Saccharomyces cerevisiae S288C: one gene and its partner. Changing the gene in region 1 together with any one later gene gives a genetic interaction. Each region holds a gene or a part of one and is shown in the gene's direction. Other genes may lie near its edges. The genes, in order: SYM1 and CIT1.

The links.
Region 2: mutations in SYM1 (region 1) and CIT1 impair growth when combined (synthetic growth defect), as found in Saccharomyces cerevisiae (one study listed by BioGRID).

What each region holds. Positions count from the first base shown.
Region 1 is NC_001144.5:639,506-642,775, forward strand, and holds SYM1 (ethanol metabolism protein), read left to right. Parts: upstream 1-1,958; coding exon 1,959-2,552; downstream 2,553-3,270. Other genes in the region: YEF3 (translation elongation factor EF-3), read left to right, coding at 1-409; nucleobindin SSP120, read left to right, coding at 812-1,516; CQD2 (Cqd2p), read left to right, coding at 3,122-3,270. UniProt on the Saccharomyces cerevisiae protein: May be involved in cellular response to stress. Required to maintain mitochondrial DNA (mtDNA) integrity and stability. Required for ethanol metabolism and tolerance during heat shock.
Region 2 is NC_001146.8:629,121-633,212, reverse strand, and holds CIT1 (citrate (Si)-synthase CIT1), read left to right. Parts: upstream 1-2,151; coding exon 2,152-3,591; downstream 3,592-4,092. Other genes in the region: putative ammonium permease ATO2, read left to right, coding at 1-205. UniProt on the Saccharomyces cerevisiae protein: Specific citrate synthase with catalytic activity only with acetyl-CoA.

The sequences.
Region 1 (3,270 bases):
CGGTACATGGCAAAGACCTCACTTGATTGTCTTAGATGAACCTACCAACTATCTGGACAGAGATTCTTTGGGTGCTTTGTCTAAGGCTTTGAAGGAATTTGAAGGTGGTGTTATTATCATTACTCACTCTGCTGAATTCACAAAGAACTTGACTGAAGAAGTCTGGGCCGTCAAGGACGGTAGAATGACTCCATCTGGTCACAACTGGGTTAGTGGTCAAGGTGCTGGTCCAAGAATCGAAAAGAAGGAAGACGAAGAAGATAAATTCGATGCTATGGGTAACAAGATTGCCGGTGGTAAGAAGAAGAAGAAGTTGTCTTCTGCGGAATTGAGAAAGAAGAAGAAGGAAAGAATGAAGAAGAAGAAGGAATTGGGTGATGCTTACGTTTCTTCTGACGAAGAATTCTAATCTTTTTGATCACTGCTTTCACAGTTTTCTTTAAGATTTTTATTGATCAATAATTTATGTATATTTTAATTTCTATGTTTTTGTAATATTGTTTATTTTGGTAAAATATAGACGCAACTTCCTTATTATAAAGAAAGGCATTATTTAAAAGAAAAAGCGTTCCATTAGTCAGACATCTTTTTTTTTCATACATTCTTAAGCTCAGGCAAATTGAGCATTGCCTCATACCCTTTTCGGTAAGAGGGTAACGAAAATATTTTTTTGGAAGAATAAAAATAGGTGACGGATCATAGACTAGGAAGCTTTAAAACATGATTGAGCGTAATATTATATTCCTTCTAGAAAAGATAAAAGAGCCAAGACCTAAAATTTTTTCATCCCTGTTCTATTAAAATTGTGGAAATGAGGTTTTTGAGGGGATTTGTATTTTCTTTGGCTTTCACTCTATATAAAGTAACTGCCACGGCAGAAATAGGATCTGAAATTAATGTGGAAAATGAGGCACCACCTGATGGTTTATCCTGGGAGGAGTGGCATATGGACCATGAGCATCAGCTAAAAGATTACACTCCAGAGACTTTCTTCGCGTTACATGATATCAAGAAGAAAGGATTTTTAGATGAAAACGATATTCTATCTCTCTACGGGTTGAACCGTGAAGAAATTGTGGGGGCTGGTGATGGTATGGGACAACACGATGAATCTGAGAAAATTGACAATGAAATGGCTAAGCGTGTTGTTAGCCTTATTATGAGGTTATTGGATGTTGATGATAATACCAAAATCACCAAGGAGGAATATCTACAATTTGCTAAGAGAGGAAACAAGTTCCCTGACCTTGGCGTTGGTGTAGGTCACCACTCCGATTTTGAGCTAGAATATGAAATTCATCACTGGAATAAGTTTCATAAGGACAAAGATCCAGACGTTAAAGTCGTTCACAAAGAAGACATAGAACATGAATTGCTTCATCATGAACATGAAATTGAACATGAAGAAGAAATTCAAAGAGGCGCTTCTAGAGCTACTGTAATAACTGATGACGAACTAGAGTCTAGAATAGAGCTGAAAAATATTCCCGAGAAATTCAAAAATGGAATTTTTTAATGGACTTGGTCAAGATGAATAGTTGAGACTGAGAAAATATTCAAGACACTATGTATGTAGTCAATTAGCATGTAGTAAGTAATCAAAGCACTTAAAATATATTTTTACCATCGCATCGTTGTGATGCCTCTCCTTTGTGATTAACTATCTACTTTAAACGTTCTATTTTCTATGTTCTAATTACGTATGTATTGGTCTTTTCTCTCCGATGGTAACAAGAAGCGTTTCGGGAAACAGTGGCACCTCCTTGTCCCTTAAATGTCGAACTTTAACAGTATAAGTACAAAGTGAAAAAAAAAAAAAAATGGAAATATCTATGATAGTGATATGATAGAAGAGCTATTTGAATGCTATGTTGTCATATTTAGCCTTACAAAAGGGAAAAGGCAAACACAGTCTTTTGTTATTACTATAGGAAAGATAGAATTGATATTAAAACAGTATGAAGTTATTGCATTTATATGAAGCGAGCTTGAAGAGAAGGCCCAAAACTACGAATGCGATAATGACAGGTGCGCTATTTGGAATTGGTGATGTTTCTGCTCAATTGTTGTTTCCAACATCCAAAGTAAACAAGGGTTATGATTATAAAAGGACAGCTAGGGCTGTCATCTATGGTTCTTTAATTTTCTCCTTTATAGGTGACAAGTGGTACAAGATCTTGAACAACAAGATTTATATGCGTAACAGACCTCAGTACCACTGGTCTAATATGGTTTTACGGGTAGCTGTCGATCAATTGGCGTTTGCGCCGCTAGGTTTGCCATTTTATTTCACCTGTATGTCCATCATGGAAGGTAGATCATTTGACGTAGCTAAGTTGAAAATAAAAGAGCAATGGTGGCCTACACTTTTGACTAATTGGGCAGTTTGGCCACTTTTCCAAGCGATTAACTTTTCTGTTGTTCCTTTACAACATAGGTTACTAGCTGTTAATGTCGTTGCAATATTTTGGAACACTTACTTATCTTATAAAAACTCAAAGGTTATGGAGAAAGACAAGGTACCTGTTCATTATCCACCCGTGGTCGAATAACTGGATAAGAAATCCTGATTTTGAAAATATTTGGAATTCAACTAGCATATTTATCAGACCTTGTTCCTTGGGGTACTGGAACAGCATATACCTAATAGACTTTCGGCAGAGAGCAGACCAACTTCATAAATATTTGAGTCACCAAAGTTGGCTAGCAATCTGCTTTTCCTTTACAGATGTGCTTGGTCAGGAACAATTTATTTAATTACATTCGTACTTCTTTTATAGAGGAAATAGTAGCTAACATTTCACTATTGCGGTCATGCCTGTTGTTCTTCAGCTACCGTTTATGCAAAGGTGTTTAATTAGGTGTGAGACTTAAGTGGGCCTTTTAGTACCACTGTGGGTTCTGGACCTTTATATAATATTTCATTTTTTCAAAGGTTTTTTCATATGCCGTTAAAAGAGGTCAAAACATAGACCCGAGGAACATATCTTGTAAATCGCTGCGTTATGTATGCATATTGTACTCCTACCTTCGTAACTGGAAAGAATCAGTCTGAAAGTTTATTGAGCCTGAAACGGAGCAAGATTATAGTTGAATGTTTCTTATTCGGTGTTGATAGTAGATGATGACCAAAGCTTTTTTTAACAAACTACCGTTTGAGGTATTCCGTCGGTACGTTAGGACAGGTAAAAGCATCCCTCAAAGAAGCCCCAGGACAAGAAAATCTCTTCTGGTGGGTGGGACTATTGCATCAGCAGTAGTTTTGTACAA
Region 2 (4,092 bases), on another chromosome or scaffold:
CTTCCTCTTAGCAGTGACCTTCTTACTTCTATCCATTGCAAACTTCACAGGCGAAGTTGGCGTCACTAGAGCTGGTGGGGTCCTTGGTGTGATAGTAGCCTTCATTGCCTGGTACAACGCTTACGCAGGTATTGCCACAAGACAAAACTCGTACATTATGGTCCATCCATTCGCATTACCTAGCAATGATAAGGTGTTCTTCTAAAAACACAAAAGTGCAGGCTAAAATAACTTTTACCCCTATTATATATTCTTATGATCCATTATTTATGAAAAGCCCAGCAAATGTCGAACAAATCGGCCTTTGTTTTATTTCACATAGAATCCTTTATAAAACAACACTGTTCTCATGCATTTCCGAACTATTGTTCTTGTTGTATAGGAGCACGGTTTACCCCTTTTGCTATTGACACATGTAATATCGCATAAAAAAGAAACCGCACTTCATAGTGCATAAGCAGTACAGAAATGATATCACATGTAAGTGATAGCGATTTGACTGTTTGCTACCGACAAGACTATCTGAAATAAGAAAAAAAACGACCCCAGTGAGGGTTGAACTCACGATCTTGCGATTAACAGTCGCACGCCTTAACCAACTTGGCCATGGAGTCACTTTAAATTCTGCAGAACGTGAAAGGTTCGATTTCCATGATCTACACGATTTTAATCATCTGTAAGCCTTGCCATGAAGCTAAATTGGTGAATTTTTAAGAATTGTTTTGTTGGAACGAGAGTAATTAATAGTGACATGAGTTGCTATGGTAACAATCTAATGCTTACATCGTATATTAATGTACACCTCGTATACGTTTAAGTGTGATTGCGCCTATTGCAGAAGGAATGTTAAACGAGAAGCTCAGACAATACTGAAGCTGTGTTAAAGACCTATTAGTTGAACATGTTATGGTAGGTACATATATGAGGAATATGAGTCGTCACATCAATGTTTAGTAACTACCGGAATCACTATTATATTGGTCATGATTAATATGACCAATCAGCGTGTGTTTTATATACATCTCTTATTTAGTATAAGAAGATCAGTACTTATTTCTTCATTAATACTAATTTTTAACCTCTAATTATCAACAGAGGAATATGAGGATTCCTAGATCCTCGAGGAGAACTTCTAGTATATTCTGTATACCTAATATTATAGCCTTTTTCAACAATGGAATCCCAACAATTATCTCAAAAATCACCTAAGCCTCACATGCATGTTTTACGTTGTGGTTGATGATCTATTGATGTTGAGGTACCATATTTTGAAATTCATTAAAACAACTTCTACCGGGCGTGTGGTCTAGAGGTATGATTCTCGCTTAGGGTGCGGGAGGTCCCGGGTTCGAGTCCCGGCTCGCCCCCATTGATTTATTTTTATCAAATTTTTTAATATTGCATATCTTTAGTGGGCAAAAAATTTTTCCCTGGGCAAAAATATAAGAGAGCTCATCTTATTGTTGTCAGCCCAATGATTCCCTTGTCAAATTGAATTTTCGGATTTACTTGTTCAGGTACCCGCGTTAAGGGGCTGCCGCGCCTGTCACTCTAAGAAAAAAGGAGCCATCAAAAACCATTCAGCATTAACTAAAAACGCGGGTAGAGATTACTACATATTCCAACAAGACCTTCGCAGGAAAGTATACCTAAACTAATTAAAGAAATCTCCGAAGTTCGCATTTCATTGAACGGCTCAATTAATCTTTGTAAATATGAGCGTTTTTACGTTCACATTGCCTTTTTTTTTATGTATTTACCTTGCATTTTTGTGCTAAAAGGCGTCACGTTTTTTTCCGCCGCAGCCGCCCGGAAATGAAAAGTATGACCCCCGCTAGACCAAAAATACTTTTGTGTTATTGGAGGATCGCAATCCCTTTGGAGCTTTTCCGATACTATCGACTTATCCGACCTCTTGTTGTTTGAAAATGTCAATTGATATCCATCCATTATATAAATGCTCAAAACTTGCAGCAACTATTCTTTACCCTTCCCCTGTTATGGATTGCTAGTCTTAAGGGGGAAATTTGCTGTTTACTAAAATACAAACCAGGTTTGTTTTGGCTTTTATTTGCATTTAAGTAATTACAATTACAACCATTAAAAAGAAAATAAGGCAAAACATATAGCAATATAATACTATTTACGAAGATGTCAGCGATATTATCAACAACTAGCAAAAGTTTCTTATCAAGGGGCTCCACAAGACAATGTCAAAATATGCAAAAGGCTCTTTTTGCACTATTGAATGCTCGCCACTATAGTAGCGCCTCCGAACAAACGTTGAAGGAGAGATTTGCTGAAATTATCCCAGCAAAGGCAGAAGAAATTAAAAAATTCAAGAAAGAACACGGTAAAACCGTTATTGGTGAAGTTCTTTTGGAGCAAGCTTATGGTGGTATGAGAGGTATTAAAGGCCTTGTTTGGGAAGGTTCCGTGTTAGACCCCGAAGAAGGTATTAGATTTAGGGGTCGTACTATTCCAGAAATTCAAAGGGAACTACCAAAGGCTGAGGGTAGTACAGAACCTTTGCCAGAAGCTTTATTTTGGTTGCTTTTGACTGGTGAAATACCTACTGACGCTCAAGTTAAAGCCCTTTCTGCTGATTTAGCTGCCAGATCAGAAATTCCAGAGCACGTTATCCAACTTTTAGATAGCCTCCCAAAAGATCTACATCCAATGGCGCAATTTTCTATTGCCGTGACTGCTTTAGAAAGCGAGTCTAAGTTTGCCAAAGCATATGCTCAAGGTGTATCCAAGAAAGAATATTGGAGCTATACATTTGAAGATTCGTTAGATCTGCTGGGTAAATTACCTGTTATTGCTTCCAAAATTTATCGTAATGTGTTCAAGGATGGTAAAATTACTTCAACCGATCCTAATGCTGACTATGGTAAAAATTTGGCCCAACTTTTGGGCTACGAAAACAAGGATTTTATTGACTTAATGAGACTATATTTAACTATTCATTCTGATCATGAAGGTGGTAACGTTTCTGCCCATACTACACATTTAGTGGGTTCTGCCTTATCTTCGCCATACTTATCTTTGGCCGCTGGTTTGAATGGTTTAGCTGGCCCATTACATGGTCGTGCCAATCAAGAAGTTTTAGAATGGCTATTTAAATTGAGAGAAGAAGTGAAAGGTGACTATTCAAAAGAAACAATTGAAAAGTACTTGTGGGATACTTTGAACGCAGGGAGAGTTGTTCCTGGTTATGGCCATGCGGTTTTGAGAAAAACTGATCCTCGTTATACGGCTCAACGTGAATTCGCATTGAAACATTTCCCAGATTACGAGTTATTTAAGTTGGTCTCCACCATTTATGAAGTTGCCCCAGGGGTTTTAACTAAGCATGGTAAAACTAAGAACCCATGGCCAAATGTTGATTCACATTCCGGTGTTTTATTGCAATACTATGGTCTAACTGAGGCTTCGTTCTACACTGTATTGTTTGGTGTTGCCAGAGCTATTGGTGTGTTACCCCAATTAATCATCGATAGGGCTGTTGGTGCTCCAATCGAAAGGCCAAAATCATTCTCCACCGAAAAATACAAGGAGTTGGTAAAGAAAATCGAAAGTAAGAACTAAGGAAAATTTGATTTTTGATTCAGGGTATGCGACTATTCAAACACGTATTTTCATATACGAATGAGTAGTTTATAATTTATATAAATATATATTACATAAGGAAATGGCTATGACTTCATGATTTTTACGCTTTGAGTCCCCTATGCCTACCGGTTATGTTATATACTTGGCAAATGATATCAATGAATAGAAAACAAAATGCTCTTAAATTCCTGCAAAGCGCTTTCAAATCGAATTGTGGTGGGCTGGCGCGCTGATTTAGCAGTAAAATCTAGCCTGTAGTCGATATACTACGTCAAGGTGTAACTAACGTTTATATGTATATGAACCTGCAGAAGAAGCAAAATGACAAGGTTAATGCATCTTTATCTGTCCTAGAGTAGAAGATACACTAAAAAGTTGATAAAGCGAATATAATATGGTCATGTGAAAAAAGCAATCTCATAAAATTTTCTCTTTTTCCTTTTTTTCTTCTGTTCTTACCTCAAGATAAATGTCACT